Tamandua tetradactyla: one gene and its partners. The protein of the gene in region 2 interacts with the protein of the main gene of each other region in a biochemical or structural test. Links are inferred from orthologs where the notes say so. Each region holds a gene or a part of one and is shown on either strand. Other genes may lie near its edges.

What was found.
Region 1: the proteins of DSG1 (region 2) and PKP1 form a complex in vitro, tested with the Homo sapiens proteins (2 studies listed by BioGRID and IntAct). The link is inferred for Tamandua tetradactyla from reciprocal best matches to the Homo sapiens genes DSG1 and PKP1.
Region 3: the proteins of DSG1 (region 2) and JUP form a complex in vitro, tested with the Homo sapiens proteins (2 studies listed by BioGRID and IntAct). The link is inferred for Tamandua tetradactyla from reciprocal best matches to the Homo sapiens genes DSG1 and JUP.

Annotation. Positions count from the first base shown.
Region 1 is NC_135330.1:58,341,038-58,351,152, reverse strand, and holds the start of PKP1 (plakophilin-1), read right to left. Parts: upstream 4,545-10,115; 5' UTR 4,268-4,544; coding exon 4,066-4,267; intron 1-4,065. UniProt on the Homo sapiens protein: A component of desmosome cell-cell junctions which are required for positive regulation of cellular adhesion.
Region 2 is NC_135344.1:51,946,072-51,956,205, forward strand, and holds the start of DSG1 (desmoglein-1), read right to left. Parts: upstream 4,524-10,134; 5' UTR 4,284-4,523; coding exon 4,236-4,283; intron 1-4,235. UniProt on the Homo sapiens protein: Component of intercellular desmosome junctions. Involved in the interaction of plaque proteins and intermediate filaments mediating cell-cell adhesion.
Region 3 is NC_135332.1:25,400,944-25,410,655, reverse strand, and holds the start of JUP (junction plakoglobin), read right to left. Parts: upstream 4,530-9,712; 5' UTR 4,350-4,529; exon of another isoform or gene 4,344-4,349; intron 3,905-4,343; exon of another isoform or gene 3,743-3,904; intron 3,734-3,742; exon of another isoform or gene 3,604-3,733; intron 1,250-3,603; exon of another isoform or gene 1,190-1,249; intron 1-1,189. UniProt on the Homo sapiens protein: Common junctional plaque protein. The membrane-associated plaques are architectural elements in an important strategic position to influence the arrangement and function of both the cytoskeleton and the cells within the tissue.

The DNA of each region.
Region 1 (10,115 bases), on a different chromosome or scaffold from region 2:
GGGTGGAACCCGGGCGGTAGCATTCTTGATTCCAATGTGTAGCCGAATTTGAGAAGAATGGACAACCGGATATATATATAAAATATTAGGATGTTCTCAAGAGAGAATCTACAGAATAAAAGGCCTTAGCAGGGAGAAGCCTTTTTCTGGGATGTGCTGTACAGTTTGGGTGAATGGTCCGTAGAAGCAGGGAACTGTATAATCCACTTTCAAAGACTGTTTTAATGTTGCAAAGCACTTTAGAGATGATCTAATCCAACCTCTTAGAGTTGCAAAGATCCAGAGAAAGGCAGTGACTTGCCCAAGATCGCAAGCCTGCCAGTGGAAAACCCAGCCTAGAACTCAAGTCTCCTGACCGAGCTGAGCTCCTGCCACAGCACAGGCTGCCAGGCAATGCGTGTATGTGTGCATATGTGTGTTCAGGTGTGTAGGCACAAGTGTGCATGCACACATGTGTGTGAGGTACGTGTGAAGAACTTCATTCCAGGATGTCTAATGTTTTTCCATTTAATTTTGTTCAAACATCACACACCTTCTAAGTGGCCGCACCCATCACAGAAGTACCTCCTAGAGTTCTTCAAGCCGAGAAAAACTGGCTTATTGGTATTTATAATTAATTTGGCATGTGAGGAGAGGAATTGGTAGTTTAAAAAATATCTGCCAATGAGTTTAGCACAGGAGTAGGATATAAGGAAACAGCACTTGCTGTGAAACACCCTGGAATTTTTGCATTTGTTGTAACAGGCTGATGGAAATTTTGGCTAATATCCCAACTTCAAGCCAAGATACATTGCAAAGAAATAGGAACTGGTTCATTTAAAGTTTAATTAGCATGTTTCACTGCTGGAACAAAGCTAAAGCTTTACCATCTCCCATCATAGCTTTGGTCCAGAGAAAACAAACCAAGAACGGATGTTTGCTCACTGTAGTCAGGAAAGGACAACATTCAAGAGAGGATAACGACAGATGCCGTGCTCAGGCAGAGGTTCGTGCTGAGAGACAGCCAGACACAAATACAAAAAAGCCAAAAGAGGGATGGAGCTTCTAAGGCAGGATGCTTTTCCCGCGTGCATTGCAGAGCTAGCACCAGCCTGTCCCACAGGAGTGGTCGGAGTAGTGTGGAGGACGGAAAGGATGCAGGCATGACATGAGGGGACCCAGGCACCTCCCCTGGCCCAACGTTGACCCCCTACACCTATCTCTGTCTAGAGAGAAATACAAGCATAGCAATTTTAGATGGAAAATGGTACTTCTAAGAACTTCACAGATGTCTACAAAGAGAGTTGCCAACAAACTAGGCAAATGGCACTGGTAATGTCTGGATTTCCCCGGAATGAGGAATATGATAAAGGAAGCTTATTTAAGCAAACTTTCCATGTGATGTGTGTTCACAGTGGTAGCAGGGGTTATGGGGGGTTGACTCAAAGGAGATTTGTATTAAACTTTAGAAATAAGTTTCACCTGAAGTGATAAAGATCCTGAATATAGAAAGGTATTTCCTTTAAGGCTGGATAAGCAAGGCACCAGCCCTTTACCCAACACAGGGAGGCTCATTATCAACTCCTGGAGGGAATTTTGCACACTCAGTGAAGTCAATTTTTCCCCCCAAAGATATTTTGCTGAGAAGCCATGTCTCCCTAATTTTCCTCTTGCTTCAGCGGGGAAGAAAACTACCTCTCAGATACCTCATGTGCACAGGGACTCTCAGAAGATGGGGGAGCAATACCTAGGGGCCAGTTCAGGAGAAGATCATACCTACAGGCCACAGAGAAGAGCCCCCTGCCCCAGGACTGCTTGATCAGGGCGAGGTGACTGTCTCGTGTTTTGCATTTCAAGGAGGACATGGATGAAGTCAGGCATTTGGTGCCAGGCTCCTTTCATGGGGCTCCTTCTTCCAGCCCTGGACTCAATTCCCCCTCCCTGATAAAACAGAAAAGAACCCTAGTAGAGAGGGCACTGAGGAAAAGATGGTCCTCTTGCCAGGGCCATAGTGGTCTATTCCCAACTGCCCTACACGGGGCACAGGAGAGGCAGACACTAGCAGAAAATGTGTGGGATGTGAATGGTCTTCTTTAGGGCAGAGTTTTAACTAGGGGGCCCCAGATGGGATCCAGGGGGCCCAAATGGGTCAAAGACTCCAGAGGAAACAACTCTTTGCTCTTGGAGACTAAAGGAGAATCGGAGCCTGTCCAGGGGAAGGAGGGGAGTGGCCTGGGGTATGGTCCTTCTCTGTTTAACTTTTCCTTCCCAGGAGCCATAGGAGGCCCAAGAGAAGAAGGAGCAGAGTGGATAAAGGCAGCCACAGAGCCAAGCAGGGAACGCTGGGCACCTCTGATGGAGAAGATGGGAAATCTGATGAAAACAAAGCCAGATAAACCAGAAACACCAGCTCCAAGTGGCCGAACTGCCTTGCCCAGCTAGGGCAGGGCTGGGAATCTCCCCTGAAGCTGAGGGTAGAGGGGAATGTGCCTACGTGGTCTTTCCTTGGAGAGCCCCATTTCTGGAAAGGTATCCCTTAGCCATTGGGGTCAACCCTCATCTGGCTGGAGCCCCATGCCAGAACTTAGGGTGTTGAAGCAGAGAGAGAACAAAGGAGACGTTACCCACAAACACAGGCCAGAAAGAGAGCACTCGTGACAATAGAGGCTCAGCCAGCACCCCAACAGGTGGGAAGAAGGAGGCGTGCTTGAGGCACCTGGGGCCAGTTTGAGATTTTTCCAGAGCTGTGAGCCTGGAGCTCAGGCCAAGGAGGAGGTGGGAGCGGAAAGGGAACAGGTAAGTATTGTTCAGGGAAGAGAGGAGGTTGGCTTGACCAGTGCCCCTTGATCTGCAAAATAAACAAGGACCTGTCTCTTTCCTCCTTACTACCCTTGCTATCACTAACTCTCTCATAAGGGACTTGCTCGACAAAACAAATCTTGGTTGACCTGTCCTACTTTGCAATCTGCAGAGTCTTCATTAACATTTTACTAAATTTATCAAAATCAAAAATACAATAGTAATAATTATAAAACTATAAATAAGTAAAAATTACATACTAGTTTTTATGTAATTCTTACTGGGAATTCTTTGTATTAAAGTATATGTGCTAAAAGTTCTCCACAATGTCTCTGTGAAGTTCTTACTTCTTCTAGTTTGGGGGTTCTATTTCTCCCAGTCACCCCCAGTCTGGGGATTTTGGCATCCACACAGTCTGCAGTCCAAGGGAAGAAAACTCAGGCCAAGCACCCTGATTGGAAAAGCGCCGGTGAGGGCTCAGGTAGGGTCCTTCCTGAATCTGATGGAATCCCCAACCCTGACTTACTCTGCCTTATCCCATGCTTGTCTTATTCCCTTTCTTTCCCCTAAGATGATTGTTACTACTCAAGCTGTGTGGTGGAAGGAGAATCCAGTGGGAAAGGAGGTTTCCTGCGTTAGCGACGGGAAGGAAGGGATTCTCTATCCCTGTTCCTGTGGTCAAGGGGCTTGCTCGCTCCTGAGCGACCCTAGAACCAGACTTCTCTCCTTCCGCGGGAGGCTCCCGCTGATGTGCCTGGGAGCTCAGGTGGCTAGGCCCAGCTCCCGCCGCCTCCGCCTTCCGCAACGCCTCTCCCGGGCCCGCACCTGGGCTCATCGACCACTCCTCGCCACGCCGCGCGGTCCCACAGGATTGGGACCCTGCCCGACTGAAGGCGCGGTGGAACGCAAAGCCCGGGAAGGGGACGGAGGAGGGCGTAACACCCTCGGCGACCGCTGGGTTGCGGGGCTGGTCTCCTCCCCTCCCCCTAGCAGCTCTCGGAAAGAAAAGGACATCCAGGTCCGCGCTCCCGAGCTGCGGGTCCGAAGAACATACCGGCGGGAGACCCTCAGCCTCGGGGCAGCGAGCCACTTTCCGCGCTCACCCGCGCACCGCCGAGCTCCCGGAGCGGGCGAGCGGGTCCCGGGCGGGAGCCTCGTGGGAACCGGCGGGGAGCTCAGACTCCGCTCAGACCCGGTCTGGCGCGGGCGTCCCCCTCCCTTCCCCGGCGCACCTCGGCTCCCGCCCGGGGCGGGGGCGCACGGACCACGCGGGCGCCAATCCTTTACCTCGGTTGGAGTGGCTCAGGGTGGACGACTGGGAAGCCTTGGATTTCTGTCGCTTGACAGTCATCATCACCTGCTCCTGCACGCGCTGCCGGCCCGACGTGCCTGTCTTCATCTTTTGGTCCGACGGCAAAGCCAGCGTCGAGTTGTCCTGGTCCTGGAAGCATTCGTACGCCAAGGCGGTCTTGAGCGGCGAGTGGTTCATGGTGGCGGGAAGCACGCGCGGACGCGGGGCCTGGAAGAGCAGAGAGGCGCGGGGAGGTGCGGCGCGGCGGGCGGGACGGTACTCTTCTCGCGCTCAGCGGCTCCCAATGGCCATAGAGTAAGTGGTCCGCGTGAGGGCTCCCGCCAGCTGCTCCCGGCGCTTGCACCCTGGCTCGTCCTCTCCTGGCACTGGCTCGGCTCGCCTTCCGTCAGACTGGATATACCACCCCTGCCCTGCACCACCCACTCGGCTCGGCGGCGCGCTGCCTCTGCTCAGTCGCCGAGCTACAGGGCACCGCTGCTGCGGAAGCCAGCACTCTCGGGGGAGGGGGAGGGGGAGGGGGAGGAGACGGGCTGGGCTGCCTATCTGCGTCTGGGACAGTCGGTATCTTCCCTCTCTCTCTTCCTTGCTCTCCCTTCCCCCTCCTCACGACGTGTAGGTGGCGAGGCTCCCGGGGAGACGCCCCTCTGTCCTGCTCGCTCAGGGAGGAAGTGTGTGCTCAGGGCTGAGAGAGATCTTCTCTCGAGGAAAAAGGAGGATCTCTTGACCAGATGGGAAAGCAGGTGCCCATCCGCGTCTGGCTGAGGTCACGGCAGAGACCAGCCCTGTGGATGGGGGCTCCCAGACTGACCGTGGAGTGCTCAGTCTCAGAAGCCTCCATTCTAAGGCAGTTTACCACTCTGAAGGGAGTGCGGTGGGACACGAAGCCCTTGTCAAGGACTTGAGGTACAAAAAGGGTATACCTGTCATGCATGGATATGCCTGGTATTACACCTTGAAGGCTGTGGTCAAGGAACTCCATTCTTAGCGCCTAGAATGGTGCTTGGCACATACTAGGTGCTCAGTTTAAAAAATACATTTGAATGGTTGAATGAATAAATGCTATTTAATTTAAAGTGAATTAGGCCTAGTTTGACTCCAACCCAGATCCTTACTAGAAGTGCATCTTGCCTATAAAACATCCCCACTGCAGGCATATTACTGTAGGACCCCTATATATATTCTCTTTTGCCCGTACATACCCCTGGATGCACATATGCAATGATATTGCATTCCTGTAGCATCCTTTTCAGGCACCAAGATAGCCTTTACCTGTGAATTTGGTATGAAACAAGAGCTGGACATTTTTAAAACTACTTTGATGGAAATCTTTCTAAAAGGTATCATATTCCACCTTGCCTCTTTAAGCAAAAGATAAGATCACATTTTACACACTTCTTGGTGACAGGGGTTTCTGCTTCTGGACTTCCATTACTGAACTGGGTAGTGGTCCAGTCTTGTCAGTCTTTTAGTTTGCACGTCTTCTCCAGCGGTATTATATTGTCAGCTGTCACTTTTATCATTTGTAGTGACCACTCACAGCTGATCTATCCCACTTCTAGTTTGCTCTTCTAATCTGCAGAGGAAGGAAAAATCAGGAATCTGCATTAGTTAGGAATTGTGTGTGGAGGAAGGGTCAAGACGACTTGAGGATCCATGAGAATTCCACCCTGAGAAGTGGGGGTCCTATGCAGAGAGCCCCAGCTTTCCCCCACAGTGCATTCCTGGTAGAGCGGATTACTGTAAGGCAGATTATAGTTCCTAATAGAAAGTTTTTTCTTTCTATTTAGCCCTCTAATTGAGACTTTTGTTCCCAAGAAGTCAGCATCAAACAAGCTAGAGATGTGACCATCAGTATGTCACAAACGCAGAGGCTCAACACCTGTAAAACTCTGTCATCGCTGAAAATTTTAAGATTCTGCTTCCAGCCATAGAATGTCAGTGCTCAATGCAGTCTTGGAAATTATCCATCCCAGCCTCCACATTTTACTGATGAGAAGAGGAGGTTGTGCCTGCGGTCACCAAGCTAAGTCATGGCAAAGCCTCCATTCTAACCAGTTCTGGTGACTCCCAATCCAGTGCTCACTCTGCCACTGGCCTCCCTTATAAACATCCTATAAAATGGGCATTACAGTACAATGTACACCAACTATAAAAGGGCCCCAATGTACTATAAAGTACACATAACAACATATAAAAATACAATACTGTTGTATCACACATTTGGCCTATCTAAGAACTAATATGCTAGCTATAATAAGTGTTAATTAAGTCTTTAAATAATGATAATTTTGCTACCTTCCAGGATGTAGAAGAGCCCTGAAGGAGGTGATTTGGAGTTGCCCATAGTCCTATAAAAGGTGAGTCCCAGGAAGCTAAAACTGATTATTTTAAAAGTTGTTTCCAGGTTCAGTTATTCTATCTGTTTCCCTATCATTTTGCTATTGATACTATTTTGAAATATTGATAGCAATAGTCAACACTGACAGGGCTCTTAGGAAGAGCTAGGTATGGGCCCTTTATGGGGACCATTTATTCAAATCCCCACGAGGACCTGTGAGGTGGGAACCAACACTATCATCTCTTTTATTCAGATGAGGAATCCCAGCTGGTACGTGGCCAAGCCAGGCCTGGGCAGGAAGCCTGGGCACTCAGTGCAAGTGCAAGCAGCCGCCTGTGCATTCCCCCATGGAAAGCAGTGGCTCAGAAACTGTTTCACAGACGAATCTTTCACCAACATCCATCTCTTTCCTTCACAGGGCATGAAAGTCAGACCAGGAGGGTTTCAGTTTTAGTTGTATCGCAAACAAACTTCTTGATCCTAGATCAGTCCCTCCCCCACCCCCACCCCTGGCCCTAAATCTGTAAGTGAAGGCGCAGCGTCGTTGGTTCCTAAGATCCACTCGAGCCCTAACACTCTATAATTCTCATGTCAATTGTGGGGACTTGCAATGCAGGAGACTCTTGAATGGAGTCCTCTGGACAATATTTTCTGTGTCTCCCCCTTGTCCTCAAGGGGAAGGAAAAGACTGGAGGTGACAGAGGAAGTGCTATCACCACCGAATCCCCTCTGTGCCCCAGCATCAGGTACTCTCTGCATATATTAGTTCAGTCAGTTCTTCCAATACCCCCTCGAGGAGTTATTATTTTTCCCCGTTTGGCATGAGGTTAAGTCAGTGGGGAAGTCTGGGTTCAAACAAATCTCTGACTTCTGGCCTGGAGAAGGAAAGGAAAGGGTGGTCAAGTCACACGTTTCTGGCCAAGGTGTGCAAGGTATATTCAGGCTGGAAGATTTATTTGGGGGCTCAGGTCCATGGTTTTAAGCCAGCAGGCCGGAGCTATTTCCTTGGCCTCTCCCTCTTCTGCCTGCTGGATCCCACCTTCTGTGGGGCTTCAGAAACAGGCCAGAGAAGAGGGTAATACTCCTGAAGTGAGAATAGATGTCACTAGGCACTGTCACACGAACTGATCTCTCAAATGGGATGCCCCCAGGTGACAGAACATATATTCAGATGGTGAAAAAATTCTAATGGGTGTGGGTTGATTTGAATTTGGAGGTTGTGGGGGTAGTTCGAGGAAAGCTTCCTGAAAGAAGCTAATTTAGACTGGATTCTGAAGCAAGATGAGTAAATTTTCATCTTCAAAGACATTGGAATGAATGAATATGAATGAGGTTCAAATTCTGTTTGCTGCCTGCCCTAGAGCATTATGCGTGACCCAGATTTCACTCTCCATCATCAAGGCTTCTAGTCTTCCTGAAAGTTAAAACATACCATGACCTGTGTGTTCTGAGTTCTCAGTGTTTAGTTCTCAGTGACTAAAAGAATGGAACAGCGATTCATTTATTCAGCAAGTATTTATTGAGCATCTAGTATATGACAGACCCTCCTATACACTGGAGGATGTGATGGTGAAGAAGACAAAAGCTCCGCCCTTACAGAGCTCATCTTCTGGAGATGGGGAAGAGGTGGGGGGCTGGGCCAGTTGGGAAGACCAGCCTGGGTGAAGGCTGAGAAGAGGTCTCTGGGGCTTCTGCTGCCTCCAAAATGACAGGACCAAAATTTTTCCTTACTCAGTTCCCAGCTCCCCAGAAGAGGTGACCACCTTCACCTGTGCCCCAAATTTCCACAGACCACACACCCTTGGGAGCTGGGGACAGGGAAAGAGGTAGCTTCCATTCTGGACCCCTAGACCTGCCAGGATGGGCCCACCTTATTCTGCCTTGTTCCCCTGCAACTGACCCATGTTCAAACTGCTCTGACAGCTGCCATGGGGCCAGTTCCCCATTGTCGAGCCTTTTCTAGCAAGTTCCTTTGGCCAGACAAGTGGATTCCTCAATGGCTACCTATTTCAAGAACCCTACAACTTTCTCTGTGAACCACTCTGCCCCCTCCCCAATCTCTAAATAACTTCTGCATTTTCTCCCTTATCGTTTTCTCTCCCTTCCACCCCTCAGCCACTCACCCCATGCGGATGCCTGCCTCTCTGCCTTTGCATCTGTGCTACTCCCCCGGCTAGTCACCAAGGAGTGCTACTCCTGTGCTACTCCCTCGACTAGAGCACCCTCACCTAGTCACCTGAATACATTCTGAGTGCCCTGACGGGCTAGACACTGTTCCAGGCCCTGGGGAGACAATGATGAAAAAAGGCAGCCTGGGATCCTGCTCTCGCAGGGCTTACATTCTAGTGGGGCAGACAAAGAGTAAGCTTGCACATGAATGAAAAAAGTGATTATGAATTGTATTCAGTGCAGGGAAAGGACCAAATGGGAGGCCAACAGAGAGAACAGAAGTGGGTGGCGTCAGTCGTGGTGATGAGGAACAGACAGTGGGCCGAGGCCTGGAGCAGGAGGTCGGTCCTGAGCCCATCTCAGGAGCAGGAGCAAGGGCGTGGGAGCCTCGTGTGTCCCTGGAAGGGACAGGCCAGTGTGACAGTACAAGAGGGGCGTGGGCACAAGACAGGGCTCACAGGCAGTCAGTCAGCTCTGTGATGATGGAGATATCCTGTATCTCTCCTGGCTATTTAAGTCATCTAAAATGAAATGAAATAAAAAATTCAGTTGCTCAGACACACACGCCACATTTCAGGTGCTCAGTGACCGCCACACTGGACAGCGCAGGACCAGGCACATCCTTCTGGGCTCTCACTGGGGTCTGAACTTTATACTGAGAGCAGTGAGAAGTCACTGAGAGGACATCAACAAGGCGGTGACCAGCCCCTCCTGCCCCCTCGGTGCTGAGCAGGACAGCGTCCCTTCAAAATGCACATCTACCCGGAAGCTCTGAATATGACCTTATTTGGAAGTAGGGTCTTTGCAGAGCTAATCAAGGTAAATTGAGGTCATCCTGGATTTAGATGGGCCCTAAGTCCAAGAGATGTCGGTTTATAAGAGGAAGGAAATCTGGACACAGACCCAGACGCACAGCGGGAGAACACTTTGTGAAGAGACAGGAGAGCCTGGAGGAGGCCAGGGGACAGCCGCAGTGGAGATGGAGGGCGTGTCTCCAAGCCCTGGAGCTCCTAGGAGGAGGCGTGGGGCGACCAGCAGAATTAGGAGAGAGGTGCGGAACAGTCTCTCCTCTGAGCCTGCAGGAGGAAACACCCCTGCTGACACTTTAATTTTGGACCTTTGGCCTCCACAATTGTGAGGCAGTACTTTCTGTGGTTTTTAAGTCACCAAGTTCATGCTGATGTGTTACAGCTGCCTTAGGAAACAGATGCACCCTCTCTTCCTGCAACTTCTCGATCCTTGCTTAGGAATCCCCAAACTAAAGTAAATACTTTCTCCTGGGACCCTTCATGATTGGCACCTGCCTTTGTTACAGTCCTCATCATACTTGATTGTTTTTGGGTGTTTACATGACCTCGAGCAGCCCGAGGGAAAGGACGTGTGCTATTTCTTTTTGTTTTCCTCGCTGTCTGTATTACACGTACACATTCGGTGCTCAGGAGTGTTTATTTTGTTGAACTGCAGCCACCCTCTTGCTCCAGAACCCCCTTCAGGCCTTTTCCAAGCCTCTTGAGTAAT
Region 2 (10,134 bases):
TTATTATTTCCTAGTTTAGTACTTTAATGGTTGTTTGGAGTATGTCAGGCAGAGAAATATAAAATATCCCCAGATTTTCTTTTGGTGTCTCTGCCTTGTGGGAGCGAAAGCCTACTGAGCAATCTTGCAGCGGCACACAATGCACTATGAGGGGGACAAAGGTGAATCAGACACAGAACCTGCTCTTAAATGACTCACAGCCATGAGCAATGGGCAGCCATTAATTTGTAAAGAGATGATTTCTTATCAGACAAGTGTAAAATGCTGTGCTCCATTCTCATAGGCCTTTGAGAACAAGGACCAGTAACCAGACATATTAAAAAAATTAAATCCTCCTGCCTAAGTGCACTGCAGGAATTTGCATGCCAGGCCTATCCCACAAGGGTGGCATGACCCAGCGCTCTGTGAAGGCATGTCCTCAGCTGAAAGGAGCATAATAAGTCTCTCTGCAATGCTAAGCATGCTTCCCAGTAAATAGCAGTCAATGCCCTGTTGGGACACAGGAAATTCAATAGCAATGTCCCGGAAGAATTTATAGGGGAGAAAGAGTCATCAGAAATTAAGTTCTCTGGGTATAGATGAGAATGTCATTTTTCTAGATTCATAGCCTCATTAAATTAATGAATTTTGTCCCTGAATGGTTAGGTCTACAAGGGTCATCAAATCAGCATTGCCCAGTGCTTTAGTTATTTTCTGTTACCTAAATCAGGGATGGCAAAATGTTTCTACTCTGTGGTGACACAAACCAGCTGACAGTGACTTCCTGAAGGTCTGTGCTAAGAAGGATTTTGAGGTCTCATTTAGTATTTGATCACTCAAGAAAGTTTACACCAGAGGCAGGGTCATACTTGGCTTAAATGCTTTTTGGTTTGAGTTTGATAACGGTTTCATCCCTTTGTGAATCCAAAAGACTTTCATTATATATTTCTTACGTAAATGAATGCAGTGATTTCTACAGATGTGAAGGATTCCACGACGACTTCGTGGTGATAGAAAATTTGCAGTGGTGACAAATTTGTATTCCTTTTTTAGTAAAGAGGAAAGATGATGCTCATTCTAAATCTGCACAGGAATAATAAAGCTTTGAAGAACACCATATAAATGGAAATGCTCATGCTTAAATCCAATTTATAAATTTCATTTAATAGGTATACTGCTTCTATTTTTCAGAAAATATTTTACTGAAATGTTCACATCTACAATATATGTCACTACAGCCTGTGCATAAGAAAGTATAAATTTTGCGTTCGAAAGTGTGGTTAAAGAGTTTCCTCTTTTGCTTCTCTTCTGTTTGGTCTCTACTAGTTTGTTCTTTCTCATGCTTTAGGCATCAGTGAACGCAATTATGGGAGCTTGGATATTTGGGTCAAATAAGTGGATGGACTATGTAATAAAATAAATTTTGTTTCTGTGTTTTAGCCTATGTGCTCAGAAATACTTTGAAAACCTCTTGCTTATATACTAAAGAATTGTAGCTAAGTTCAAAATGTGGGGTTAACTTATCAGGTGGTTGGAGGAAATACCCAGGAAGACAGACGATTTACAATGAATTGAAGAAGTCAGATTATTCTTGGTAATTGTTAGAAATAGTTTTCTTTGTTCTTTGAACTTAAGCTGCAGAATTTGCTTTTATAGGGAATGAAACTTTGAGATTTGTATTGATTCAAATTGACTAATTGAAACTTGAAAAGTTGCAAGTAATATTCAGAAATCACTAGTACCACAGCAGTTCTTATTCTATTTTTCTTTCCCACAAGGACCATGCCATACCTTTTACAATAGTGACAATCATCCACACAGATTTCTTATATTTGGTTCATAAGGTAACATTTTCTTTTTGCCTAGAGAAAATGTATTCTAATTCCTGCTCTTCTCCTCACCCCCTCACTGAACGTACTGATTTTACAGAAGCTGAACAGAAAGAAAAATGAATCAATAAAATTTATTCAGCCTTCTGTGTTGTAATAGGTATAAACTATTGTCTTTCCAGGAGAACTATCTGAATAATGGAACAGTCATGGAGCAATCTTTGCTGCTTTATGAGAAGCTCCTCTGGCTTTATTTTCCCTGTTCCAGCCCACTAATTTCAACAAAGGTCCAGAACCTTCAGGTATTTTGATCAATGTGTACAATATGCTTGTAAGCAAATAGCTGCCCAGCTCTCAAATGGATTTGCTTTACAGATACTACTAGTTTAAAAGTCTTAAGGGTCTTCTTCACCATTGGGGAAATATGCTTCCTAACATGGATTTTTATTTATCAACTTTGAACAGAGAATCATATATACTTTAGCAATATACTGTACATGCTTTTTGTGTGTGTGTAAAAATAAGCTTTCATTGCAAAAGATAATTGAAAGAGTTTACTTAGTGGTGGTTGTCTTTTGGGGAAAAATTATTTTCTAAAGCAAAACACATGTTAGATAACTCCCAAAGGCAGTTACCCAGGCCATCTAGTATATCAGTAGTAAAAATGTATTATGATTTGCTAAATCTTAGAAAATGAAAAAAAAATTTTTAATTATGCTGTTGCTATGAAATGAAGCATTTTAATTCATTATAGAGTAAGTTATTTGAGAAATAATTCTCATAAAGGGTATGAGAAATGTGTGCTTGATTCTAGGTAAAATATGGCTTAGTAACACCCCTCAAATCACACTATCCAGACTCAGAAAGCAAAGTATAAATCCCATAAACCTTTCTCCAAAGAGAGAAAGTTCAATGGGGATATTTGATTTTGATAAAACAATGCTTTTTATTGAAGTGTAACAAATTAGGAAGGAGCTTTTAAAAGGAAATTTATAGGATGTAATTAATTAGAAATAATCATATAAATCAAGAAATAAGACATCTCTCATAGATTCTATTACCATTAGTGTATAAGCATCTGAATAAATTTAATCGGCTGAATCTGTAGTAGGCCATGAGGGATCAATTTTATATGACATTAAAGATAAAAGTGTTTCATATATGGCAAAACACAAATGTTCAGATGTTCAAATGGCATATTGTATAATGTGCATTGATCCCTGCCACATAGCAAGCTATGACATCAACTTATCTTAGAGATCCATTAAAAAGTCCACAGTTCTGTGTGTGGGGGGGGGGTAGCTTGGCCCTAAAGCTACCAGCTGATTGAAGCTCATTTACCCCTGAATCTACTGTTGACTCCTTTTAATTCATAAACAGAATTCAAATTCATCCTGTACACTGAAGTTAAAAAGTCTAATTTGTTGTTGTATAAACCCAACATTCCAGTTCAAAAAAGCAAGTAGAAACAAATATGAACCACAACATATCTCCTGTCAAGGTGGAGAGTGATTTTGCTGGCACCTGCCTTGGTGGATTACCTTAACTACACTGAGATTACTATTTTAAAATTTTCACCATGAGTGAAATTGATGCAATAACTTTGGTGCTGCATTTAGCATTATCTCTAAGAAGAGAAAACCAAAGGCATGGCAAGGGAGGCAGTGATAAAAAAAACATTTCATTACATTTTTCTCACCATCAAATGTAGAACTTGTATATCACAGTCATTACTGACTCCAGGAGTAAGAACAAGTATGGTAATAATTATTCTTACTCCTTAATTATAGCCATTCCTTCACTTACTGTGTCATTTATGAATCCTTGTACTGTTGTTTTTTGGGTGAAATTAAAAATGCCTTTTTAAATAAAATCATGGGTTCTCAGCATAGGGCTCCAAATAAAAGCAGCATGGCTCATAACCTCAATAGGAGGTAGTGGGATGGTTTGGATAATCAGGGCAGTCAGAAGCTGCTGTGATTTTAATTTATATGGATCCTATTTTTAATGCTTTAAAATTTATGAGGAATGATTTAACCATCAAAAGAATGGAATGTTTAGGTTAAAAATCAGGACATTCCTGGGTTATTTAGTTTAAAGGTCCATTGCAAAAGAGAAATTAGGACAATAAAGTGTTACTGAGTAGTAATACGGATTTCCCAAATTCAATAACTTCCCAATATGACGAGCACTGATTTCAGTCTCAGAGATGGATGTCCCCAGTTGATGCTGGTGCGTTAAGAAGATCTCAGGTCTTCAATTAAAGAGAGAAACACTGTTTAAAAATCTAGTTCATAAAGTCACCCAGTCATTAACATAAACTTTTAATAGGGCTAGCTTAGAAATGCTATTAAGTAACATTTTCTGCAAAGTTCCCACCTGTTTACCCTGAGAATAATTGTGAAGGATTTTTGAGAGTTCTCTTACCAGAAAAATGAGCAGCGCTGCAGCTGTCCTGACGGGGTGCCAGTCCATTGCTGCTGGCTTTCTTACATCCAAAACCGAGGGAGTTTTGTTTGTTCTTCTCTGTTCTTTTTCTTTCCCCTTCTCGGCTGGTGTTCGATTAAAATAATTTCTCGGTAGATGTTCTTACATGCAGGCTTTGAGGTGTTTCTGCCTTCCTCTGGGAGAAGGACTGAAGGTACGTATAACCTGTCTGGATCCCCACCCTAAAAACTTGGGCTGGTCTCACTGAAATGCTTGACACGATCGTTGCTCCCAGGTAGAAGCTTAGGGACACACCCTTCTCCCAGCTGCTCTCTGTGGGGCATCGGAGAGAGTCACCCCTTATCTGACGGTTTTCAGGGACAGGCATTTTAAATGATCAACAGCGTGAAGAGATGGACAATGGATAGGGGCTTTTCATACTGTGGTTTATTTACAGGTTGCTTTCCCTCTTCCTATATTAAAAGAGCAAGTGTGATCTAGATGCTTAGATTATTCAAAGAGGATCTGGCTGTGCTCCCGGCTACACCCTCAGGTCATAAGTAGAAAATGATGTATTTTCCATTTCAGCGGATATTAGGATAAGATTCAGTTATTTTCTGAGTTGTTTAAGATGGAAAAAATGTGTTAATGTTGAGAGTCGATATCTTTTTTTTTTTTAGTATTAATTCAAACGAGACACGACTATGATACTTACAAAGTCTTCTGCATATGTCACAGTTTTCTTTCAGTGACCAGCCTGAAACATGGGAAGCATTGTTTTCTAACTGAATAGTTTCTCTCCCCAATTATTTTCCTCTCCTTAAGAGTCTCCCTTTTCAAATGCAGGGAGATCAAATTAAAACTATCACTAAGCTAGATTAAAAGTAAATTAAAATCAAAACCGCCAATGAAAATCCAGCTGATAGTTTCTGAAATGAGGCTCAGTGGCTGAAATATCATTGAAACACAGAAAGCTGCTCTTCAGGTGAGGTGGGTTAAAAGTCAGTGACGATGCCCAAGCACAGAGCCAAGAATCTGCATGGTGAGCCAATTAGAACATGGGGAATAAGCTGGAGAAATGGCTGCCCACACATGCAAATGAAACTGAATGCAGCCCTGAGCTTTGCAAAAATAAAGTGTTGCTCATGAGGCAGTGTTCGCAAGTTTTCTCAAGTTATCTTCTCTTCATTTGGCAATATCTAGGAACATTGTGAGTCGCAGGGACCCTGTAGATACTGGATGTCTTCAGAGTTTGAAGCAAGAGATCTATCTGATAATATATTGATTATGGTTGAAGGGATATTAGGAATGTCTCAGAGGGGAGGTTTGTCACTGAAGGGCAGAGGTTCTATGGAATGCTGCCATTTCAGAACAGGTGTGTGGCAAAGAGCGTTACTCAATAGTGGTTTGAAATGTCATGCTATTCATCATGGAGCTTCGAGGGAAGGAGATACACTGCCTGCTTTTATTTGCAGTGATTAATAATATTTGTGATGGGAATCGGTTGATGTGAATGGATAAAATAAAAGGAAATGGTCAGGTCAAATGTATCATTAGCCAAGTAAGACAGAATGTAAGTGTCAACCTGTGACTTAGTCTGAGCAATATATTAGTAGTATCTGAAAATATGTGAAGCAGTAGAGAGGTAAGGCTCAATGCTTGTAGCTTCCCAGTGGCAAGTGGCAAGTGAATGTTTTTTCAATCTTATTCTCTGCACAGGCCCTCTGCATCCATAGAAAGATCCTTCCCCCCAAGCCTAGCCCTGACTCCACCTCTAACTCAAAGCCCGGCCCCAATAATCCCAGCCGTCTAGAGCATTCCCGAGGCAGCAACCTAACCTCTCCCACGGCTTTCATGGGGAGGAGGTGTGGCAAAACCTGTAGCTTGCAGAGCTAAGGCTGTCCTGACAGTGCACAGGAGTTAGTGGCATTTAAGCACAGGTGGGGGAGTTAGTTTATGAGTCACCCCACCATCCTTCCTTTCTTCTCTCACTACCCCTTGTTCAACTTCTCAGCTGAAAGGAGCTCTATTTCTTCTCCAGCTTCCAATCAGCACCTTTTGATTCCGTTTCCTTTATTATCTCAGTTCATCCAGGCCCTGCTCCTGACTCCTTACTGATCTTATTTCCTAATTCCACTGAGGTAAGAGAATTTAAAACATGCGACCCAAACCTCTGTTGTTTCCATGTTCCTACTTCTCAACTCATTCTTCCAGCCCCTCATCTGTAATGACCTCACAGCACATTGCCGCACACCTGTGTTCGCTTTTTCCGACCACCTCACTGCACCCTATGCTGACTCTGAATGTTGTTTAGTATGTGTCCTGCCCCCTACATGTCAACGGTTTTCACTTCATGGACATTTTATGAAATTTGGGGTGATTTTTACGGCTCTGGAATTTCCCTGGCAAGCTGACCCAGACCTCAGCATTCTTCTGGGGGGGAGGATTTTCCTCTCTCCTAAGACACTGCAAACCCCAGAACATCAATTCAAGTGTCTATGCTTCTGCTTTTGCTCACAGCTTGGAAAACTGAGATTCCTTCTTGAAAAACAAATTAGCATCTTAAACTAAATTTGATAAATCTACTGACCTACGATTTCTTCAGCCCAATTACAGTAACTCATTTACAGGACACCCGCAGCATGGACATGTCTATTGCAGAGAAACTCTTTGGCATATGATTTCACGTTATATATGAACCTCTAGTCTCATATACATGTCGAAATTACCCTAATGAGCTCCACATATCACTTAGAAGAGATTGAAAAAACATCAACCTTAACACAGAGAAGAAATCAAGGCAAACATATTAAGGAAAGTATCAAAAATGATTCATCCGTAAGTCAATGCCACATATGCAGGAAAATAAAAAGTCTGGGGAGACGGGACTGCTTTTTTTTTTTTTTAAAGACTTGTAATATATAACAAACAAATGCAATGACTCATCTTCATTGATTTGAACAAAACAGCTACAGAAATAATTTGGGAGGTATTTGGGGAAATTTAGATATAGACTAAATTTAGGTTTAGATATAGATATAGTAATATATTTAGCTCACATTTCATTATTTTTCCATGTGAGTATCCATTATTGCAGCATCATTTGTTGAAATGTTGTTTGCTGATTTTGCTTATTTGTTTTTTTTGGGGGGAGGCGGGGAGTGCAAGGACCGGGAATTGAACCCAGGTCTTCCGCACGGCAGGTGAGAATTCTACCACTGAACCACCCTTGTACTCCCCTTAGTAATATATCTATTTTTAATCATAGTGAATGCTAAGTTATGTAAGGTCGAAATCCCTCAGTGACAGAAATTTTCTTTGTAGTAATTCGACAATAAAATAGATGAAGTACATATCAAGATGATGGCAATTTAAAATCTAAGTGATAGTTATATAATGTTCTATTTTTCTGTATATTTGAACATTTTCATAATAACAGTAAAAATAGTAGGATTGGCAAACTGTAACCCACAGGCCGAATGTGGTCCAATGCATGCATTGTTTTGCTGCTGTTCTTTTCTTAAATTGAAACACAACCATACCCATTTGTCTATGTGTTGTCCAAGGCTACGTTTCCTCTGTAATGGCAGAGCTGAGTAGTTATGACAGAGAGGGTGTGGCCTGAAAGCCTAAAATATTTACCTAACTGACCATTTACAGAAAAAGTTTATGGACCCCTGGTTTAGATCAATTGATCGTAGTTTGTAGTATCAAGTATGGCTTCTTAGTCAATAGTTGATCTTAGAGGAATCCACAAGATTTGATGTTAAGTGTCTGAACAGAGGTCTTGATGACTGAATGTATTCCCTAAAGTTAAAGCAACTAATCAGAAAGACAGTTTAACTGGCTAGATGATTCTACATCTAATCCTTCTTCCTTTTAAATCAGATTTAAGGAAAACAATTTTACTTTTCTCTAGTCAATTTTAGAAGGGGAGTTCAATTGCTGTCACCTCTTTATGTACTTTTCTCTAGATAGAAGTATTTATGAGCAGGAAAAGTTCCAAAGGATTTTGAGAATCTTGGATGCTATCTTAAGATTTAAGCATTACATGAGATTTTAGCCTCACAAAATAAGAGTGGTGAGAGTTCAAGACTGAACTATTATTATCTGTACTTTAAAAAAGTTAAAAATAATTATAACTAGGCATCCACTGCACGTTCAGTACTGTGCTAGGTGCTGTAGAATGTTCAAAATTGTTTTTAACTCTTTTTAAGGTTTATACTGTAGATACAAACACACTGAAACAGCCAAAACTACATGCATACATGTGTGCATATTAACTAATGCCCCTGAGTGCACTTATGGATTTCATGCACAAGTTCAGTCCTTCCTTTTTACTTATATAAATTATGATCAGTTAAGTTCTATAATTTTTATGTTTTTTTTTGTTTTTTTTTTTGCCTATTGATGTGCTTCACACTATACAAGGGACTGGATTACAAAGATGGATGTATGCAAAATGGCCCTTACCCTTAAGCGGCTCCTGGCTAGTTGGAGTGAGACAGATAACAGATTTGCCCTCCAGTGTAGTAAGCAGACCCATGCATGTGTGCTAGGCTCGGCAACCCTTGGCCCAGTTTTATTTGCTGTGAGGTTAGAGAAATCTCATACTGTTAAAGACTACACGTTTATGACATGCTAGAATCAGTTGCTACAGTATTTGATTTCTTCCTGTTTTCTTTGTGTATTACCTAAATTCCTCAGGTGACAGTTTAAATTTTACATCTTTTGTTTCAGATTGCCTTTCTCTCTCCATTTCTGCATTTGAAGACCCTCACCAGGCCCTCATCACCTTGTATTACTGTACCACAATTCTCGCAGAAACTTCTGCCTCCAAACTCTTCTATTTTAATTTGTTTAATCTTTATTTTCCAGAATAGTATTTCTGAAACACTGTTTTTCTGATGCCATGCTTCTTCTCAAGGAACTACAGTAACTGTTTCCTAGCAGATCTAAATGTCTTTATATTGAAACTCCTTGGCAGCAAATTTATATCTCTAAGATATTTATTATATCCTGTAGAAACAAAGTGAAAATCACCCTCTTTTTCCATGGGCATAATAGTTTCCACCATTGTCTTTTATTTCTGAAGACGCTGCTTTTGTGGGTGATGATATTGATATGTTTCAGGGTAAAATTGGTAACTGATGTTTGTCTGGAATAGTGTCCGTTTACGTGTGGGTATAGTCCATGAACAGGTATTCATTTTCAGAAACTGTTGTGGATTGTGGTTTTTTCAAGTTCAAGTTCGCCAACATTTCTTAAGCTCTGCTAGGGACTGTTAGTTGTCTAGGGGAGTTAAATATAGGTACTAGAAGTCCCTATCTTTAAGAAGGCTAGAGCATTGACGGGATCTCAAAGGGGCCATGAGGCTTGTCTCTGTCACAAGGCATATTGGCCTATGTGCTAGTAGAAAGGCCAACAGGGTTTTATGAGATCCTGCAAAAGGGAAATCATTTCTGTACTAAGAGAGTTGGACAAAACATCATGGAAGAGATAGATTTTGAGAATTTAAGGAGAACTACATTCTCCCCCAATGGAGATGCAGATGGGAAACAAGGCAGAAAGGGATGTGAATTTTTTCAGGCCCCAAAGGAATCAAATTGGATTAAAAGTATACCATTTGTGCACATGTGTTTTTTTCTTTTTTCCTTTTTTGCTGAGTAATTGAAAAGTAAGCAGCAGATATCAGATACTTCATTTGTAAATACTACAGCATATATCTCTTATGGACAAAGAGTTCTATTAAAAAATCATAGTTTGGGTGGGCCACAGTGGCTCAGTAGGCAGAATTCTCACCTGCCATGCTGGAGACCTGGGTTCGATTCCTGGTGTCTGCCCATACAAAGAAAAAAAAAATCAAGTTTAATCGTCTTTGAAAATAATACATGAGTGC
Region 3 (9,712 bases), on a different chromosome or scaffold from region 2:
AGTAGTGGTTCCCGATTGCCCTCCTTCCTGGGCAGGACAGGCCTCCCTCCAGCTCACCCGGATGGGGCCTTCTTTCATCCTCTCCAAAGAGAGCCAACCCTGAGCCTCTTCTCTCCCTATTAGCCTTCTTCAACTCAAGATCCCATCTCTGACAGACAGGAAGTTCTTCCTCCTATCTAACCTCCACTCCTCCTATAAGAGAATCGGTCCTAATCTCACCTATGTCCTCAACGGGGGTGGAAAACTGCAAGCCCATCACCTCCTCTACAGCAATCAGCCACGGCTCAGTTCCTTTTCTTTCCCTCTCTGTCACTGGCCCTCCATCTTCTCTCCCCCAAGGTCAAGATTCCCCAGGCCTGGGGTCACCTCCTGACCTCAAGGAATCCAGAATCCCAGGGACGACAGGTTCAAGCGCCAGGCTGCCCTTCCACATATAAGGTTTTCCAGACCCCAATTCCAAGGGCCATTCTGGTGTCAGGTGCCAATTTGGCAGAGGTGCCAGGCACAGGCAGGTCTAAGAGGATGGTCTGATGCCAGCTCCTTCCTCAAGAACCAAGGCTGGTCCCCACCTCAATCACCAGAAAGGCCCTCCTAGCAGCTGAAAAACTACTCCTGGGCCCCCTCCTCACCTCCCCGGTTTCCCAGCCTCCAAAGCAGAGGACAGCCAGCTCTGCACCAAAGAGCAGCCTGTCAGCCCCAAGGGGTACCATCCAGCAGGACATTAGCCCAGGGCTAAATCTGACCCTTGTTTCTCTCCATGCCCTAGGGAGCAGGCCACCCTATATTTTTGGCGCAGGCCCTGTCCCCAGAAAAGCAGACAACTCCCACTCCCTATATAGGGACAAGCCCAGAACAACCCAGATTCTTCCCAGCTGGAAGCAGGAGGCGGCAGCAGCTTTGACTCCTGCCAAGACCCCCCACCCTCCCGGCCCCCAGCCCTGGGGAGGTAGCCCCCATCCACTGGGAACTAAAAACCAAGCTACAGGGGAGGTCTCGGAGGGCTTGAGGCTTAGGGATGAGTCACTTCCACCCAACATGCCTTCTTCCACCTCCACTACACACATATACCTTTTGGGTCCTTCTCCCCTATCTCCCAGACAGAGACCCTCAAAAAGGGGCAGCAAGGGACTGTGTAATACAGTGAACCCTCGTCAGGGTGAAAATGTTCTAGAATTGATTGTGGTGATGTATGCACAGTTCCGTGAACATCCTAGAAGACAGTGATTGTACACTTTACATGGATTGTATGGTATGTCAATTTATCTCGATAAAACTGCTTTAAAAGGGGGATAAGGGGCAGTGCAACAGTGGCTCAAAGTGGCTGTATTCTCACCTGCCATGCCGGAGACCCAGGTTCAATTCCCAGTACCAGCCCATGTGAAAAATCACATGGGGGTGGGGGTGGCAACAGGAAAATTCTGAGCTGCAGCAGGGAGTTAGGGGAGGATGAGCTCTGGGCTTGTAGGTAGCCCAAAAACCCAAATGCCAGTCCCAGCCCTGCTCAGGGGCTTGCTGTGCAACCTTAGGCAAGTTACTTAACTTCCCTGAGTTTCTGTTTCTTCATCTGTAGAATAGGGATAATGATATCTCCTGCCTCTAAGGATTGTTGAAAGGATGAAGTGAGGGCTGTTAATGAAAGTGCTTGGTAGCTGTAAAATCCTCCCTTATTTTTAAATTTTAAAAGTTACTGTTTATCAAGTACTCCCTGGGCAGATAGGTACTATTGTTCCTCATTTTGTCAAAGAGGTCACTGACACTCAGAGAAGGGAAACGACTTGACTACGGTCACATAAGTAATGAGTGACAGAGCCGAGATTCAAGCCTAGCTCAGGCAAAGTCCAAATCCCTGTGCTGAGAATTTTACCCCACTGAAATGCCTTTTCCAGTAACCACCCCTCAGCAGGCCAGTGCGTGGCTGTCTCCTTTTCCAAGAGCTCCCGGGCCGGCAGAGCCCCTCCCCTCGTCTGTGCTCCCTCCAGGGGCCTGCAGCGAGAGCCCAGCCCCAGCCTGACCTCCTAGATTCCTACTCACAGCATTCTCAAAATCTCAGTCCTGGCGGCCCAAGCAGGGTGCTAGAAGGTGGAGCTGGGGGTGGGGTGGGGGGCGGGGGCAAGTGGAAAGGGTTCCTATCACCCAAGCTGGGGCTTGATCCAGCAAGAAATGACTAATCCAATCCTACCTTTTCTTTCCTTCTCCCTCCTCTAATATCCTCCTCCTCCCCTCCAGCAAATAGCCAGCTTTCACAAGCACCTCCTAGCAATAGTCCTGAGTATTATCTTTTCATCAAGGCCCCAAACCAGATTACCTAAACGAATCATCCGGCCAATGTAATTACAATGCCTTCCCCTCCTCCACCAATGCACTGCGAGGAGAAGCGAAAACAGGATATTTTTGCCCAAACTCCAGGCCCCTGTGGCTCCCAAGAGGTGTAGTTCCCTACCAGTCCCTTCCCCAGCCCGGACTACTGCACAGGAATGAGCCCTGGGGGAAGAGGTGGGGCTGAGTTACTGGTTTGAGACCCCCTCCTCCAACTCTCCATCCACAGCCTGGAACAAGGCGGTGGCATCTTCCCAAGCGGGCCTGGGTAAGCAGCTGGGATTCTCCCCTCTAATCCCCACTTCGATCCTAGGACTGAGGGAAAGATGGGTCTTACATATCCCCACCCCACCCCCAAGGACTGGACTGCTGGACTTGTAAAAAAGCCACACCTCGGGTTTTTAGAAGGCAGCGTGGAAAGCCTGGTTGAAATATCCAGCTTGGGTGCAGGAGTTGGGAGACGTTCCTCAGGAAATAGGGGGAAGAGGTTCGGAGGGGACTCTGCTCCAGAGAGCCTAGTGTCGAACAAACTTCCCTCCAAAAGCATTCCTCCTGTCCCACTTTCGCCATCAAAATCTCGCAGGAAGGTGGGGTGGGTGGTAAAAGGGCTGCAAAAGCTTCCAGAAGGAATGTACCTTTATACTTCAGAAATCAAGTAGAAATCAAGACCCATTGCTCCATGCTCTTCTGCCTCAATTACCAGGCAACTAAAGAGCATGAGGGATGGGTGGAGAAAGAAAAAGACAAGAACAGCCCATCCCCGTTCCCAGTCTGGCCCAGACCTGCCCCACCCCCCATTCCTGGGATGGGGGTGCCCAGAGCTCGGGAAGGAAAGCCTCCTCCGAGGGGGTGTGGTGGTCCCAGGAGGCAGGAAGAGAAGGAAGAAGCTGCTTCCCCTTTTGGCCCACAGCCCCCACCCCAGGCCCCACCTCAGGCCCCTGGGGCCCAGCAAACAGGATGGAGGCTGGGCTGGGGAGGACAGGGTCTAAGCACAGGGCTGGCCCTGGTCCAGCCTGGGGCCAGCTGGGGGAGGGGCTCTGCCCTCTGCAAGAAGGACCCCAGAAGCCTGGGGTAGTTCTGGGCAAGGAGACAGGAAAACCCCCAGAGAAAGCAGCAATGAATACTTCTTCCTAGAAAGTTTGCTTTGAGTGATTTTTCCAATAATAAGATGTTAGAGAAGAAGGGTAGTCCTGTTTCCATATTAACATTCTGGAAGTCACAGCTACTGGAAACTGGGCCAGGTGACCTCTCTGCTCAGATTCCCAAACACAGACCCCCTCCACCCAGACAGAGCCGAGCCGCGGGTGCAAACATCAGCTGGCGCAGACCCGACCCTGCACAGCCCCACGGTCACCCCATCTCGTCTCCCCTGGGAAGCCGTAGCCCAGCGCCCACGGAACGGAGGGAGGTGCCCCAGGTACAGTACCGACCGGGCTCCGGGAGTGGGAGGGCAGGGCCTCTGGCCTCCTTGCGCTCACCTGCTCGGCAGGTGGGGACCGCGTCGCTGAGAAAATGTGTGTTCGGCCCCCAGAGTTGGGCAAGCCGGGCGCAGACAATAGGGCCCCACCCAGGCCTGGGGGAGGAAGGAGGGAGGGAAAGCGAGGATGACGCGTGGGGTGGGGTGAGGGTGGCCCCAAAGAGACCAGCGACAGCAAGTTTCCCAAACAGTAAATTTCCCACTGTAGAGTGAGTGCGACCTGGGACCCAGGCACAGCTGGCCAAAGCCTGCTCGGAAGGCGCGGAGAGAGAGGCAGGGACCCGGCGTCGGGAAAGCTCTGCGGCCCCCGACGAGAGCGCGACCCGGGAGGCACCTGCCCTGATCCCTCCCAGCCCTTCTCACATCTCCCTCTCCTAGAGTCCCAGTCGCGTTCGGACCAAACCTCGCGCCCCTTTAGTCGCCGCGCCCAGGTCCCAGCGCGCCCCCTGCCGCTGGTGCAGGGTGGCGCCCCCCTACCGCCCTCCCTCACCTGCCCTGAGTAGGCTGGGAGCGGCCTCCCTGTCCCTAGCCGCCGTTTCTCTCTCCCCAGTGATACCTGCCCCCGATCGTCCGCACCTGCGTATGAAACCTGGCCGGGCAGGGTCGGGGACGGGCCGGGATCGGGGCCGGCGCGGGAAGCTAACTGAACTCGGCGCGCTCGGGCGGCGGCTGCTCCGGACTCTGGCCAAGGCAGCAACTCAGTAACCGAACAAAAGGCGAAGGGACCTGACAGCCAAGACACGCCTTTCGCCCCCTTGAAGCTCCGCCCCCCAGGGAAACGCCCACCCGCTGAAGCGAGTTAACTGGCTGCCGCGCCTGACAGTCCCAGCGAGGGGCGGAGCCTCGCGCCCAGTTTTCTACCACGGCCGCCTCTGTTTATCCGCTCGCCATTGGCCCCAGGGACTGCCAGTCGGCTCTGGGGACTGACTCTTAACTTCAGGTCCCATCCTAACTCCGCACCTACTGGCTAATAAAAGGTTACTTCCTCCTGATTGGGCAAGGGGTTGTCAGTAAGACTCAGGAAAGACCAATGGGAGAAATGGGGTGTATCTTGCCCCACCCTAGCTCTGAGCAGGTAAGACTCATTTACTCTCCCCCCTACCTGTCCAACAGGTGAGTCAGGGAGCGCCCTGGGAAAGGACAGACGCCTTCAGCGGCCAGCCAACTCAGCTACCAGCCAACTCAGCGTCAAGCATGATGCTTCTTTGGGCTTATTCACCCTTGTTCCAAAGTAGTAATAAAATATTTGTATCGCATTTCTGAGAGTTTTTTGATGGGTTGGGATTTTTCCCCAACAAAAGATGCCATGCTCATGGGATTTAGAATTAGAAGGCCTGGATTTGGATTCTGCCACTTATTAGCTATATGATGTCTAAGATGGGTACATTAATTATATCCATCTCACTGGAGTATGTGGAAGTTAAAAGAAGTAAGATTTGTGATAGCACTTGGAGAACTAAATGTTAGACTTTAACTATATGTTTTTTTAATTCTCAATACAATTCTAAAAAATTGTTAGGGCAGCAGAACTATGTTTTATTTCACAGATGAGGATACTGAGGTTCAGAGAGGTCACAGAACTAGAAAGTGGCACATCCTAAGCCAGAAGCCCTTTCTTCTAATTCCAAGGAGCACCAAGCCACAGATTCTCTTGGTGGAATGACAGTATAAGCATAAAATGTCAACGTAGTAGGTAAGGGTTGGGGAAGAGGCAAAAAAGAAGCACTTGAGAGACGGAGGAGCAATAATTTGGAACAAAAATAGACAAAGTTCTGATGTAAACAGATTTTGGTGAGCTTGGAAGAAGTCATGCAGCAGATCTACAGGGAATCAAGTACTGTCATAAAATAAAAGGGGGGCAGCAGGCCCTTCAGTAGTGGAAGAACCCAGGTTAGATATCAGAAAGAACTTCCCTAATGACATGTTAAAAAAAGACAAGAATATTTCCTTTTTGTGGTGGATGAATCCTTACTGAAATGAAATGAATGTTTGCTGGTGGCTGTACAGTGTGTCGAGGATTCGACTGAGAAATTCATTCATTCATCACATAGGTATTGAGCCCTCACTGCATGTAGGCTCTGGGTTAGACCCTGATGACACAGAAAATCAACATGATTCCAACCCTCTGATAGCTCACAGAGGGATAAGAATAAATAGGTCATCTAACCCAACCAATGGGTGGGAGGTAGGAGTGGGAAGTGGTTACTCAGGAAAGGGTCCCCCTCTAAAAAAAGCTTTATACCCCAGAAGCTAGCACACAGATAGGGCTGGGTGAAGGTACCCCACCAGAGAAAAGAATGGCAGCTGAACATTCTCCCTTCTAAAACTCATGCCCTCCAAGAAGTCTTACTGGAGGGGACCAGGGAGACATTTAATATTCCAGGATCTGTTGCCATTTCACATGCCAGGGCCACTGCTCTTTGCCTTGCTTCCCACCACATTCCCTTCCGGCTTATCTCAGCATCTTTATCCCCACCTCCCCACCCCCCCACCCCACCCACTGACTTGCCAAGCTGCCACACAGGGCAGTGGCCAGCCCGCACACTGAGAGGACAGTGCTTAGAATCCTAGGCTGCCTCCACGACTGCCAGGGTTTCACTTCCTCCCCCTTCCACCTGCCACATTCCCCTCCCCTGCCTCCCTACTCCACCTGCCCCTCATCTCTGCTGTCCTGCAGGCGGGTACCCACCAAGCCCACACACACTTCCCCAAGCCTTGCTTAACCCTCCTCTTTCTCCTGACTTCAGCATATAAACCAGGCAGAGCTGGCTGGCTGCAGAAGGGTGGAGGAGTCTGCCTGGGGTGGAGGGCAGAAATAAGGCTTTAGGATAGCGTGTGTGTGTGTGTGTGTGTGTGTGTGTGTGTGTGTGTGTGTGTGTGTGTCTCCCCAGCAATGCTCCCTGAGTCTCTCACCCTGTAACATGCAGCAGCACGCCACTCCCAAATCTAAGTGCACAGGTTGGGACTGGGTAGAGGCAACGCAGCAGCATCAGAAAGACAAATAAAAGCTGTCCCCATTTCCAGATCAGGGGATTTTCTGCACATTTATTAAGTGCCTACTATATACTTGCCAGACGGTAAGGACAAAGAAAAGAACCAAAAAAAAAAAAAAAGGCTTTGACTCTAATCAACTCTCTATAGGAGACTTGATTGTGTGGGGATGGGGTAGAGAGGTGGGGAAGATTGAAGATGAGAGCCTAGCTGTAGGGACGGGGGTCACTGTGGCCCCGGGCTCCCATGGAGCCTGATGTTGAAGGAAAGTCCCTTCAGTCATCTTCTCCAGTCCCCTGCTCCAAAGCCTTTAAAGGCAGGGATGTCCCTTCTTGACAAATTTCCAGGAAAGGAGATTCCTTAGCCTCCCTTATAGCAAAAAGTCCTTGCCCTCTTATTCTTTCTAATGTCTATTCTCAGTTCACATCCTTGCAGTTTAAACTCACTTCTCTCACCCAGAACTCAGTGAAAGCAGAGACCCTGGGTCTCCCAGAACCTATATGGTTAACTCGGACTTGCAGCTCTCCGGGGTCTCTGAATAAAGTATAAAAGGGCCCCAAGGTGGCCTGATCCAAGGTGCCCCAGAGACAACAGTGACTGGCAAAGAGGGGCCCAATGGATGAGGGGCTGCTGGGAGGGAGGAGAGCTAGTGGTGGGGGAGGGCATTTCACTTGGGGAAGTTGTCCAAAACAGTCAGTGTCAGGGCGGCCAGGCCAGCCAGGCCGGCCCTCCACCCTCCCAGTTTAGCAGCTTATCTCACTTCCCCTCCTCCTTCAGGAGGCCACTGGGCCATATAAGGAGGTGGGAGAGTTTCTATTGTCTATTCAAACACAGCCCTTTCTCTCCGGGACCCTTCTCCCAGATAGAGGGCAGGCAGAGACTTAGATCCACACACCCGCACACAAATGCACAGCCTTCCACACTCACACCACAGGGAGATGTGTTCACTGGTGCAGATTCAGATACGCGAACACTAGCCCTGTCAGTTTTGTCTTCCCAACACAGAGACACACACCATTCTTCCCTCCTCTTCACCCTAAGGTGGCCTAAGGGAGAGCCACAGGGGTGAATTGAGTTGCCCGAACTTCAGGCTGATAATGGTACCTATTCATCCCAGAGCAGCCCCACCCCTGGTATCGCAGCAGCAGAAAATGAGAACAGACGACTGACCAGGAGTTCTTCCCGGTGCAGTACAAAAAGCCAGCGGTGTGGGCCCCCCAGCCATCTCCCAGCCCAGGGGCAGAAACCTTAGACCTGGGGAGGAGGGCTCTGTCCTGCACCCTGCCCTTTGGAAGGTCCCGCTGTGGTGGCCCTCCGCCACGGGGGGCCAACGCGACGAGCCTGCACCGACCGCATACCGCGCCCCTTCCAGACCACGCTGAGTACCCGGAACTCCGCAACTGCTTGCCCAGCACTGACCCTGCTTCCAAGGCCTGTGGGCCTCTTACTCTGGGGCACCATAGCTGGTCTCTGCACCCTTAGGCCAGAGGAGTGACAGGGGCAGTTATAGGGGTGGCGGTGGAGGGTGGGGGTGGGATGGGCAGAGCATGGCCATGTGAATTGGGCATTTACATGCATGTGCTAGAGGCCCTTGGTGTAAGCAGAGCCAGGGGAGGTGGCCCCCCAGGGGACTGGGGCCCTGGGCTGCCATGTTCTAAGAAGCTTGAGGATTCTAAATTCCATTTTGACCTTTTAGGTCATTGTGGAACTATACTTATCAAGGTACATTTTAGTTAAGAGTCTGGTGGCTGGATTTATACCTTAAATATTTAGACCTATAGTGTGTGCACCTCTGTTTGTAATCTGACCCCTGCTGGTGTTGGGGGTGGGCTTGCTCAGGGTGACCCTCTCACTTTCAGGGTTTGGGGGAGAGGGGCCTCCAGGCTCCCAAAGTCTCTGGCTGGTGTGGACCCAAGCTTGGCCTGAACAGAGCAGGATGGTGCAAGGCCCCAGAGTTGGAGTGGGGCAGGGCAGGGGGGCTGCCCATTTGTTGCTGCCCTTTGTCCAGGGGAGGAGCCTTGAGGCCAGAGGCTGCTCAGGGTGTGCTCAGCAGGCCAGGGAAGGACTCTTAATTATAGTCGTAGGTCCAGTCACACTTTACAGCAGGGAGTGTGGGCGTGATGGAATGTCAGAGAGAAAACAGGGAGACAGGAAAACAGAGATAGGATGGCACCGAAATAACCCAGCCAGGGTGAGATACCAGCAGCCAGTGGTGGTAGGGGGAGAGGGCAGGACCTCTCCAGAGAATGCCTGTGTCTGGGTCGCTCCCCCTTAACCACGCTGAAGCCCCCAAGTGCAACTGCAGCACTTCAAGAGCCCAACAAGGCTGGTTCCAAGCATAGGAATTGTATTCTCGCACTGGGTGTCCCTGGCTCTCTGAGCAACCCCTCCCCCTCCTGCGTGGTTTTGGGGGAAGGGGAGATGGGAACCTGCTACCTGAGTCACCCCCCTCCCTGCTCCTGGCTAGGGCGACTCCATGCACAGGCTGACATAGCTGGGGCCCCACCCACCCTGCCAGCCGGCCTGCCCCTCCCTCCCCATACAAGCCAGGAGAGATGCATGCCCTGACAGGCGCTCTTCCCACGGCCACCACCCCTCCCCGCTTCGCACACATACATACACGCAGAGGGAGGCAATGGCAGGAATTTCTCCCCCACCTGTTGACAGTCCCGGGGACGAAGGAAAAGTCTAATCAGAGCTGCCTTGTATATAGAGGGAAGCAGAAGCCAGAGCCAAGAGAAGGCCTTCCCCTAAGGCCACACAGAGCAAATTTCTGACAGGGCTGGGACTTGAACCTCTGGCTTCCACCCATCAGTCCATCTCTCTAGGTCTCTTTCCACCCCAATAAAGGTAGGATGCAATGGAGGAGATGAGAATCAATTTTTCAGGAAGTCAACTTGAGGAGTGCCTTCAGGAAAGCCTTGGGAT